Linked DNA regions of Xenopus tropicalis. The protein of the gene in region 1 interacts with the protein of each later gene in a pairwise test. Links are inferred from orthologs where the notes say so. Each region holds a gene or a part of one and is shown in the gene's direction. Other genes may lie near its edges. The genes, in order: bcl2l2, ccdc155l and bmf.

Region 1 (4,287 bases):
TGTGTTTGATGAGGAGAAACATTTAAGTGTGACAAACATGCAAAAGAATAAGAAATCAGGAAGGGGGCAAATAGTTTTTCACACCACTGTATAAAACTGATAATGTCCCTAAAGGTTTGTGGAGAATAGATTAGGTGAATTATAAAGGGCACAAGTTCACATGAATGATGATTCAACATAATAAAAAGGATGTTAACATTTATATATATATATGTTTATATTATATATTTACCTATTAGAAGCAGCTTTTCAATTGGTCTTTAAAGTTTAATTTGTATGTTTTTATATCCCCCAACTGCCCTGCTTTTCATGGGAAAACCCCCATTCTGCAGTCTGTGCTTTACTGTCAGTAGTCTCGGTGCTGCCAGCCGCCCTCTCAGGGTCTCATCAGTCTTGCAAGATGAAATTGCAATGTCACTCCTCACAATATATGAAGTGCTTAACATAAAGGAATGGCCTGGAAATGAGGAATATTCTTCCAGTCTGCACAGGGCTTTTTGGGGTGGGTGTTGTGCAACACTGTGGCTGTCCTGAAATGCTACGTGCCACAACATATCATGATAGTGTAAAGGCCAGAGTGTGTCATAAAATACAGGTGCACCTAATGTACGCCAATGCATTTCATGCAGCAGTTCATTTTGTCCCTTTACATTTTTCTAATATTTCAAGTTATGTATTTTTTTTCTCAATTAATAGTTTTCATATTGTGCCTTTTAAACCCTGCAACCCAAAATCCTATCTGGTTGTCAGGGTATCTGATTCCGACAACCATATAAAAGATCAAAGGTGCGGATTTCATTTTATTGTTTTTAATCCCCAATCTTTTTAAGTCCCTGTCCTATTAATCTTCTCTGCAGATAAAAATTAAAAAAAAGAGAAAAACTGCAATTTTTAAAATGACTGCAGTCTGTTATTTAATACTGCTATCAATCATATCATAATCTAAGGGTCTGCATGTTATGCTCAGCAAATTCTCAGAAACAATTCCCACTAATAGGTCTTGGTTGCAACTTCACTGATACAGTGAGTAGAATGAGAATGCCCAGTTAAGTAACACACCTGAGGAAAGATTTAATACCCGCACTATCGCCTGTAAGTAAAATAGCACTTTCCCCAAACCAACGACCTTTATAACCAATTTCTTAATTTTAGAGTCTGGAGGTCAAGATTAGAGCACCGTTTTGGTGGTCGCCAGAACAAGCGTCCTTAGCCACACCCCTTTTACGCATCTACTCTGCACAGTACGGCAGAACCCAGACAGTTCAGTCAATGGGCAAACAGGAAGGCGTGCGTCTTTGACGTCATCGGGCGTCGCCATGACACAACCGGAAGTGGTTGCGAATTAAATCCGAAAAAAGGGGAATAACGGCGTAAAGGACCGAGATTGGGAAGAACAGCATGCGACGGGAAATATCATCTTCCGGGGGAGCCCCGATAAGTACCTGACGGGTGAGAGCCGCTTTGGTAGTAATTAGTCGCAGCTTGCTTGCCCTGCTTTTGACAGGGAAGAAAAGACCACTTATCCAGCTTGTCTCTATTTGCAGTCATGGCTGTAAAATATATGTGGTGTAGCCTTTTGCAATAAATAATTGGTGTTGGGACATGAGGAATTTGATTGGACATGGGCACGCCTATAACCTACAAACCATTGCCCAGGTAAAGAAAGGGTTAACCAAGGTGTCTTCAGTGTTCTGATCTCCAGTTGTTTCTAAACCATAACTCTTAGCAGCATCCCCAGACTGCCTGTGGGTATTTAGGATCCCTGCAGTACCACCTTTCATATAGACATTATGTTGATGCCACGCCCACCTAATGCAGACTGTGGGGCTGGTTATTCTACAGCTTCTACACTTGAATACATGCTGTTTGCTTAAAAGGGGCCAGGCAATTGACCTTCATGCTTCTGCTCCATTTCTGTCTGTATGTGTATCATTATCCTAAATGTGTGGCTCTGATATTGTACACTAATTCCTTGTATGTGTTTATTTCATTTGATACAACCCTGGATTGCACGCCCATATGTTATGTACTCCCCCCAGTAAATAAAATGTGTACACTGCTCAGTACGCAGCTCATGTTAAAAAAAAAAAAAAAAAAAAGCACCAGCTTGGGGTATTTTTCTTTTCAGCACTGTCCCTTAATCTTTATTAATTTGTAGGGCTGCCAGGAACCTTTCCCATGTGCAGTAGAGAAACATTGGTAAAGGTGACTTTTACTGTATTTCACATTCCAACAATCCCAGAGACAGCTGTAGTGGAACCCTGGGAAATGACTAAACATGGAACTGTCCTGGGGTAAAAAGCTATTGTATTTACTGGCTGGTGCTTTCCTTGAACAGAGACTTGTTTTAATCACCATACTTTTCCTTTCAGTCTCCTGGTGACACTGGTTGCCACTCCTTGCAGGGTAGGGCTGGTGATTATGTGTTTAAAGTATGCAGTGCCAGCTACTTATGTTAGAAAGAATTGTCACTGGTAAAATGCTGGATGCATGATTGTGAGCTGGCCCTGTGGTGATTGTGGGTTTCATAGAGGGTGGTTTCCATGAAAAATCTCCATCTGCCAGTTACTAAGGAAAGCCAATTTCTTTTGTACTGTTGTCATAGAGAAAACAAATGGGCAAGATATAAACAGATAACTAGCAATATTGGCTTTAGGGCTCTGGCACACGGGGAGATTAGTCACCCGCGACTAATCTCCCCGAAATGCCATCCCACCGACGAAAATGTAAATCGCCGGTGGGGTGGCATACGCGGCGGCGCGATTTCAGTGAAATGAGAGGAAAGTTCCGCAATCTCACTGAAGTCGCGCCGCCGCGTATGCCATCCCACCGGCGATTTACATTTTCGCCGGTGGGATGGCATTTCGGGGAGGTTTGTCGTGGGCGACTAATCTCCCCGTGTGCCAGAGCCCTTAGACATTTCACTGATAGTGTCACATTAAAGTGAAGGCTGATTTTTTTTTTTCCCTCTTTTTTTTTTTTTTTTTAAATGAGATGTAAGCCGGCCATACACGCACCAATATTACCATATGAAACCTTGTGAATGGCGGCTCGCCGAAACAAACAGTATCACAAAGGCTGCGGATATTGATCGTCACGCTGATTGGGCAGGTTAAAAGATTTTGATCGGGCGCCGTAGAAGGCACCCAAGCAAAATCTACATTTAGAGCTGAATCAGCAGGTGCAGGTAGAATTTCTATTATTCCCACCTCCACCTTTCTATTGTTTCCACCTGACCAGTGGTTGCATGAAAGATCATTACTGCTACGTGTATGGCCACCTGAGAGTACTGTGCAGGCCTGGATTGGGATTCAGAATAGACCCTGGCATTTTCAAGGGTTGCTGGCCTCCCACCAGCCCACTAAATAGTTACTGTCTATAGCATCTCACAGCAACCCCTCTGGTATTTGCCAGAATCCACTAATTGCTATTACAGGCCTGGTGCTGTGTGCAGTATCTTCTATTGAATCACCTCTATGTCAGGAGCCACACTGGAAAAGCTGAAGAGGAAAAATGCTGTGCTTAATATACTAACATACTAACACAAATGATATGAGGCTTCTCAGTTGCAATCTTTGAAGAAACAGTGAAGTTCCAGATAAAAACGAACCTTGCAGTACATGTTTTAAATATGTGATGGCAAACAGGAGGTTTCTTAAGTTTTTTTGTTGCTTCAAGTTTACTTGATTATTGAATTATTTAAGATTTTTATGGCACCTCCCCGTGAGCTGCTTCTTCCAATACACCTTTGTGTTTGACTCTTTGACTTCAAGAGATCTTATTCAATGCTGAAACATAGGTTTCAGGGCACATAGGGCATATTTTCTGTTGGTGGTTTCAGCCAATAGAAAATCACCTTATCATGGGTGTTAATTCTGTAATTTAGGTATTCGTTCTGTAATAATGGAATGGTTTCTGTCCAGAACCTGCTCGAATATTCTGTTTCTGAATAAAATAGACCTTTTACCTCTAGTGACAGGTAGATTCTACATAGTTAAATGCCAGGCTACAATTGGGTGCTACTCCGCCAGCAGAAAATGCTGGTGGAGTAGCATCCAATTGTAGCCTGGCATTTAACTATGTAGAATCTATCTGTAACTTTTTGCCATATACCTAATTTTATGTACTTTCTGTATATATGTACCCAGCATGGTGGGTAATAATGGCAAGTGCACGCAGTGTTCTCTCTTATTTTATATATGTAGGTTAGATCACTGTGCATGTTTCTGAAATCATCAAAGTTAAAGGTTTATATAGACTTCCTGTCAGAAGAAAAGAGAGCAGTAG
Region 2 (3,650 bases), on another chromosome or scaffold:
CTAGAAATCAGCCAGATATTGATAGGGGACGTTTGGAAATCCCCTAGGGCTTTATCTGTGCATTGATCCAACAATGTGTGATAAACGATTAAGGTAAGTTTTTTTATTTTTCAATGTAGTTTTGTTCTCTTGTGTAGATGTGCATTTTATTATACTTCCACCAGATGTCACCAAATCTTCAGAAAAAATATACTGGCGCAGGGCTTGGATTGCTTCTATTACCCTGAAATCTGCTATTTCAGAAGTTTGTCCCTAAATGACTGAGTGGTAAATACACCTTAGGGGCTGATATGGGCTGGAACATGGGTTTTTTTTCATCCTGAGTAATCGGATCATGTCTTGCTGAATCATCCATCCATGCAGTGATATGGTATATGATATGGAATTTAGGATTTAGAGATGATGGGTATAAATGATATTGATGCAGTCAATACTAATTTGGGTGGAGTAGATCTTCAATGCTGTCTTAGGCTAGGAGAGATCATAGAAATAACTGCAGAGGTCCCCTAGGGATTGCTTGGATCACTGTGCATGCTAATTGTAATTAGCATGCACAGTTACCATATACCTGTTTGCTTTGTAAGCTATAATATCATGTCTGTATTACTAGTACAAAGTCAAAACCCTGGCTATTGGCTGTGCCCATGCTTTGTCCAGCAACAATCGACTTTGTCAGATGAAGAAAAGAAGAGAAAATGTGGGTGTGGGGGGTATCTAAAGAACAACCATAATCATTCTACTGAATTACAAGTACTTCAATTATAAAAGGACATTACACTGTTACTTTCAATTCAGTATGACAGGTGTTCATTCAAGGACTAGAAAAATACAATTGTGAATAATGCCAAGTAGATCTTCAGATAAAAGTAATGTATATAACCCTTGCCACAGTTATTGCTATAGTATCACTTTTATCTGAATCACTTATCTAATATTTTGTTTTATAAGCTCCTTCAGAGCCACGGTAACCTAAGTTTCCAACCTATATTTAGTTTAATGTATTTTATGGAGGTCAGTCCCTCCATTTTCCTTATTTCCTCAGGTGAGTTTATCCATTTCATTGGTAGTGTCAGTATCAGGTCCTATTCCCATGTCTTTGGTGGTACTGGGTCTTTTCTTCCATTCCAAAGTTGATGGTGGTGTTGGATCTTGCTGCCCGACCCTATTTCATTGGGGGTATTGGGACTTTTCATTCTTTCCTATTTTGTTGGTGCTATTGGCTATTTCCATCCATTCCCATTTTGTTGGTGGCATTGGGTCTTTCCATTCTCTCACATTTTGCTTTCAGTCCATTTTGTTAATAGTATTGACTCTTTGCGCCCATTCTCATTTCATTGGCGTATTGGGTCTCTCCACCCATTCCTATTTCATAGGTGTATTGGGTCTTTTCATCCATTCCCATTTCATTGGTGTATTGGGTCTTTTCATCCATTCCTATTTCATAGGTGTATTGGGTCTTTTCATCCATTCCCATTTCATTGGTGGTTTTGGGTCTTTTCATCCATTCCCATTTCATTGGTGGTTTTGGGTCTTTGCATCCATTTGATTAATGATATTGACTCTTTGCATCCCTAAACAATATATAGAATACAATGTTTAGATAAGGAGAGTCAAGAGAAATCCTTTCCCTATGGGTATATGCATTGTTTAGTACAATAGTATTTAGTATAATAGTATTTAGTTGGTAAAACTGGGAGAAATCAGGCACAATATAGATATAGAGGATAGGGTTCAAAATAGTTAATTTGATACTGGATAAGACAATAAAAAATTACTGACTGCTTTATGTTTAATTAAAGGAAAAGGTTAAGTCACAGCAACTTCGCAGCATTGTAGATGAACATAGACTTCAGGTTCAGGTAGGTGAATATTAGAGAGGTAACAAAGTAGCAGGCTAGCAATGCTACACATTATGTTTTGGCTTCTTTACAAGCCCAAGGAAACCAAAGGCTTTACCAGTAAATGTATCTGCCCCCAGTAGCTCCCCATCTTCATTCCCCTGATTCACAGCACATGCTCAGGGCTGCCATTATTTACATGAGATTAGGGACTGACTGACAATATACTGCATATATACAATATAAAAGTAAAAGTACAAGGCTAATTAGTAATTAATTCAGATTTGTATTACATGGCAACTCAGAAACCACTCTGCACCAGGAATAATCAGCTCTGTAGCATCAGCTTTTATAACAGATGAACCTCATTTTCTTTTTAATGGTTTTTGACAACTCCAATGTTTAGCTTCTTCATAGCAGCCCAGGGCACACTGAGCATGGGCAGTGCCACTGACACATAAAAGATGGCCTAACTTGACCCAAGATGGGGAGCTGCTGTGGGCAAATTTAAAAAGTCTGCATCATTACTGTTATAGGCTTGCTGAATCTCTCTGCTGCTTAGTATAGAAAATTCATTGTGTCTAGCCACATATTAATTTTTAGCCTATAGTTCTCCTTTAAACAATACACAGTTGAGTCTACTGACCTATGAGACAAGGGTAAACTATTGCGTCTATAATCAGAGAAGGCAGCTAACTGAATGGAGATGCTCTCAGTACTAAGCAGCTGTGACCACTGCCCCATTGCAAAGACATGTTCTTCAATTAAACCGATGAGGCACAAGTGTGATGGAGAATAAAAACTTTAATTAGCACTTAATTAGGTAAAAAAATAGAACCGGTCTGGAAATAGTTGTTTATAACAAATATATAGCAGTAATAATGGAAATGATGATGCACCAGGCCTCTGTACGATCCTAAAAGAGCACAGTCCTACAGAGGTGCCCTATCTTCCTTATCTCAGGTTGGGCCACTTTCTGGTGCTTGTGGGTACTCACTGCCTTTAGATAATAGCTTTTTAACCAGAAACGGAGGTTACTTTTACCTTTATTTTCAGTGTGTGCAGGATTATATAATCCAGGTCTCAGAATATTAATGCACAGGCAAAATAAATGAATAAAGGTGCAACAGGCACAAGGTGCATAACATGCCTTGCCTATGGATGAGTTGGAAGTATTGCCTGCTTCATGATTCATATGCGTGCAAGGCTAATTTGCTAAATTCAGTGTCGTTCTATGCTGTGTTTGTAATGTTTATTCTTCTGTGTGTGATCCAATACAATGTTATTTGTGTATTCTGAAATATTTAGATGTAAGAACTCTTTTCCTATATCCTGCTGACTTACCTTTTGTGCATAGCTTTGTACGTGTGGGGGGTGATTACATTCAAGGGATGTTATTAATGGTTTTTGCTGTATATCTTATGCTGTCTAGGTGCTTCAAAGAGAAAAGAGACTATTACATGAACAGCTGTTACAGCCAAACAAAGAAAACATGCCCTTGTAAGTAGCCCCCACACATATCCAGTAGCCAATTAATATCAATTATATTAGAAATGTCTATTTTGTATACATTCAGTGTATTATTGCTGGTCCATTAAAGCAGGATCTGTTACAGGTTTGTTTTAATTATAGCATTAGGCTGAACACATTGTTAACACAACCCGTATTTACTGGACTATTTTTAACATTGTTATATAATGCCCATGTAATCTTCTGTGCTTTAATATGAATTTAAATGTACTGATAGGCACTTTATAGCTCTGGTAAGGAGTAATGTCGTTTTGGGCTTTAGTAGAAATACACACACACACA
Region 3 (4,278 bases), on another chromosome or scaffold:
CTGTCCGGGTGGCAAACCTACATCACCCATGTGAAAAAGTAATTACCCCCTTATACATAATAACTGGCCGCTCCACCGTAAGCTGCAATAATTGCAAAATGATTCATTTGATGTCAGTCTGTCACATTGTTGCTGAGTCATTTAGCCCACTCTTCTTTGTAGAACTGCTTTAATTCACACATTGGAGGCCATTTATAATGTTTGTAATTTTTTTCTACAATTCATTTTTTGGAACTAAAATTAAACAAAAGTGATTTTTCACCATGTATTATGCATCAAAACCATGAAAAGCGTGAATGCAAAAATACTCCATCTAAAGGCTGTCGCAGTCATGTAGAAGTCAGTTTGGTGCTGTCCAAGGCAATATTTATGCGGCCCTTTTACTTCGAGGTATTTGAGTTTTACATATTTTTTGGGGGGAGCTACTTGTGCTATTTAAGTTATGTAAAATTCACAATTAGGGGTTTTTGCTTTTATTTTTAAATTCATTTATGCTTTTCTCATTTATGAGTTTAGTGGTGGTAGAAAAAATCTCTAAGGGAGAGGTGTATGAGATATGTGCTTTTCTCAGCCCTGCGGATCCGCTTCATTAAAGACTTCAGTCTTAAAAACTATGGCAACTGCCCAAGTGTGGGCACACAGAGCGGAGTAGATCGAAGGTTGGCCTAAAAAATGCGAAATCGGGCATTTTCCAGGCCAACCTCCACTCCGCTGAGGTCCACAGGGGAGTGTACGGAAGAGGATCCACTTCTCTCAGCCTGGCTGAAAAACATAGGGCTAAAGGTCCCCGATACACAGGCCGATTAGCTGCCGAATCGTTCTAAAGGACATCTGTATGGTGTATTGGGGACCTTAAGAAAAGCGTATATGTTTTATGTGACCTCGCCCTTAAACTACACAAACTCTGATTTTGATAAATCTGCCTCATTAAGTCCATAAAGATGGACTTTTTCTAATAGGTTGGGAATTTTGTCATGGAAAAGGGAGGCCGCTATCAGTGAGAACTGACTAATACAACATACCTAGCCAGGCCAGGAATAGGATCCAAAATAGGTCCTGGCATTTCAAGTACACAGAGGCCCAACATCTCCCCACCAGGCCAATAACTAGTGACTGACTGTGGCATCTTACAGCAGCCCCTCTGGCATTTGCCGCCCAAAACCCACAGAGTGACGGGGGGGGGGCATCACTGGCATGCATAGTACAAATACCCAAATGCTACACAGCTACAAAGGGACTGATAAAGAGCTGAGGGGCCCCCACAAAGCTCCTATGGTGAGTAGATTATAGGCAAGCTGGAATCAGTCAGAGCTCACAGTGTTTATATTAGGAAGGGCGTGTGTACATTACAGCACATCCCCGGGCTCAGTATGGGGATACATGGTTATGGTGCAGGTAATACTGTTTGGCTTATGGCAAGTAGTTGGTAGTGAGTACAGTAAAACAAAGTTGGTAACAGAAGCCATATCACGGCCCAAAGAATGGACGCCAGGTTAACTCTTCCTGGCTTAGTGTGTTGAAGTGATTGTATTCCGAGCAGTGAATTGTATTCCGAGTGTGAATCGACCGAGAAAAGGGCAGCGGGGATACGGGACACAGGGGATGTGAAGCAATCATTGCTCCGCCTGCCAATCACAGCCGGTCCCTCCCCAGCCGCTCTCAAACACACTCACAGAGAGACTTCACGCAATGAGCTTGCCGCTACCCTGCAGGTGAGAGGACACACGGCACCCTGCCTGCCTGCCCGGATCCCCCGCCAAAAGTAAGTGATCAGCGGGGCTGTACACCTGTCTGGGGACTGCAGTGGTCTCTTCCACTGAGGCGTGCAGATGTTATGTATGGGTCTGTAGGAACGCAGCCGGGTCAAACCATTCTGCCAGCCGGGGTGCCCTGTGTGAGCGCTGGGTGCAGTGATGCAGTAAGGGGATGATGCGCTGCTGCTTATAGAGCACTTGGGTGACATTACTTTCCTGCTTACATTTTGGTTTGATTGTTATCTGTAAGGGCAGAAACTTTAGTGTAAAAAAGAATTTGCACTAGTGCTATTGAACAAGTTCATTGCTACGAACGGGCGATATCAGATTGTAGCTTAGTATTTATAGAGTTAAACCCGCCCGTGTTCCTGATGAGCTCAGCTTCCTGGCGTGTGTGAGTTGCAGTTTAACAACTGCAGAAATGGACTTACTATGCAGTTTAAAACTTATCCTAAAGTCACAAGTGACTTTTGATGGTATTTTATGGCTCATAAAGGGAGAGTAGGTACTAGCAGATTGGTGAGCTATCAGTCCTGTGGATGTTGCTGAACTACATCTTACACTTTTTTACCAGCTGGCAAAGGCTACTGCTGGATGCTAAGAGCTGTATCTCAATTAAACATCTGTAGGAGCTTTTCCTGCCTGTTGGAGAGAATACTGTGCAGGGTGTTTAGTATTTATCCTGCTGCCCAGGTTATGACTGCCCCCTGCTTTATAGAGGGGTTCACTTCAGTCCTCAGTCCTCTTCCATACTTGTCTGTTAGAGTGGGAACAAAACATATGAGTAATAAGACAACTGCCTGGAGATCTGAGAGGCTGCTGTTATGTTTGGTGCCAGGAGAGAATGACCCTGTTCCAGAAGGTTGAGTCAGGATAAGCTGGCAGCGGAGGTCAGGCGTTGGGTAGCTGCTGCCAGATGTACACGGCACATCTGTTTTTGTGTGGCGCTGATGGACACTTGAGCTCAGCAGGATCCAGCTGGGATTAAATGACTTGGAGTTTGCAGAGAGAATCCAGAGTGACAATGAAAGGAAAAGCCTTGAGGCTCTTTAGCCATTTTATAGCAGCACCTCTGCAATTAGAGACAACTGCAAGAGCCAAGCAGAGAGAAACAGTCGCACTCATCACTTTGTTTTATATCAGATATGAAAATGCTAAGATCCAGCTGAAAGCCTAGCGGTGTGTTACTTTAATTCCTCTTCCTCCACTTTCACTCCATTTGTTTGCATCCCTGCTTGTGTGCACGTGCTTGTGTATGAGTGTGTGTCGCCATCGGTTCCTTATCTGTTTATTGCAGTGATCCCCAACCAGTGGCTCATGAACAACATGTTGCTCCCCAACCCCTCGGATGTTGCTCTCAGTGCCCCCAAACCAGGTAGTTATTTTTGAATTCCTGACTTGGGGGCAAGTTTTGGTTGAATAAAAACAAGATTTCCTACCAAATAAAGCCCCTGTAAGCTGATAAGGGTGCATAGAGGCTCCCTAATAGCCAATCTTAGCCCTTATTTGGCACCTCCATGAACTTTTATGGTGCTTTTGTTGCTCTCCAAGTCTTTTTACATTTGTCTGTGGCTCACAAGTAAAAAAGGCTGGGGACCCCTGGTTTATAGCATATGAAAAGGCAACCACAATAACCCATTTCTCCTCTACAGCTGATGAAAATTCCCCCCTTTTCCTACTGGGAAGAAAGAGCCTCTTGTATTTATACAGAAACCTATACTTCTAATATCTTTCTTTTTTACCCAAGTCCAATATGTCAAAAATATAGTTATAGTAGATGATAAAAAAAAATCTCAAAAGTACTGGACCTTAATACAAGGTTGAATTTGATTTGTCTTTATTTTAACCTCAGCTACTATGTACTTAAGAACAAGAGGCCCACTAGGTAGAAACTGAATTGCGGGCACGGCCTATAAATCCTATTATCCTAAGTCTGAAACTTTTTATTGCAATAGGAAACAGTAGGCATCATGGAGCCATTCAGCTTCTGTTGCACTACAATTCCCAGAACCTTCCAATCGCCACCCCTAGGGCCACTGCTTGGCCATTGTTTCTTGTAATTGTAGTTCAGCGAAAGTACATGGCTCCTCTTGGCTGAGTGGTGCCCTTTCCGGTTACGCAATCCATTGTGTCTGGGGCTTTCTCGCGTGTGTGCCACAGTGGGATACCTCTGCTGAGACCAATTTGCACTAATGGCGGTGGCACACACATGAACTGCAGGGCTTCTTAGGTCAGATGTGGTGGAAAATATCCAGACGTGCCCAATTGTTTTTTTATTGTGTGCTTGTTCCTGCTTCACTAGGAGCCGCTGTCAGCTGCTTGTAATACCGTCAGCTTCATCGCCTGCACTGCTCTCTTTCCAAACATGACTCAGCGCTCGCACACACTTGGCCTTTGGCAGCCACTGCCTCACGTGTTGCTGTCAGGAACCTTCCCCTCTGATAAACAAACTACCTCTTTTGTGATGTTGTTCCGGGAACAGCACAGTCAAAGTGTAGCCGGGAAATACATTTGTAAAATGTGT

What was found.
Region 2: the proteins of bcl2l2 (region 1) and ccdc155l interact in binary tests that used the Homo sapiens proteins (3 or more experiments, as listed by UniProt). The two-hybrid records come from large-scale screens. The link is inferred for Xenopus tropicalis from reciprocal best matches to the Homo sapiens genes BCL2L2 and KASH5.
Region 3: the proteins of bcl2l2 (region 1) and bmf interact in binary tests that used the Homo sapiens proteins (3 or more experiments, as listed by UniProt). The two-hybrid records come from large-scale screens. The link is inferred for Xenopus tropicalis from reciprocal best matches to the Homo sapiens genes BCL2L2 and BMF.

Annotation. Positions count from the first base shown.
Region 1 is NC_030677.2:139,688,314-139,692,600, forward strand, and holds the start of bcl2l2 (bcl-2-like protein 2), read left to right. Parts: upstream 1-1,341; 5' UTR 1,342-1,449; intron 1,450-4,287. UniProt on the Homo sapiens protein: Promotes cell survival. Blocks dexamethasone-induced apoptosis. Mediates survival of postmitotic Sertoli cells by suppressing death-promoting activity of BAX.
Region 2 is NC_030683.2:112,414,413-112,418,062, forward strand, and holds part of ccdc155l (lymphoid-restricted membrane protein), read left to right. Parts: intron 1-1,799; coding exon 1,800-1,859; intron 1,860-3,270; coding exon 3,271-3,338; intron 3,339-3,650. UniProt on the Homo sapiens protein: As a component of the LINC (LInker of Nucleoskeleton and Cytoskeleton) complex, involved in the connection between the nuclear lamina and the cytoskeleton.
Region 3 is NC_030684.2:114,269,110-114,273,387, reverse strand, and holds the start of bmf (bcl-2-modifying factor), read left to right. Parts: upstream 1-1,409; 5' UTR 1,410-1,762; intron 1,763-1,856; exon of another isoform or gene 1,857-1,956; intron 1,957-4,278. UniProt on the Homo sapiens protein: May play a role in apoptosis. Isoform 1 seems to be the main initiator.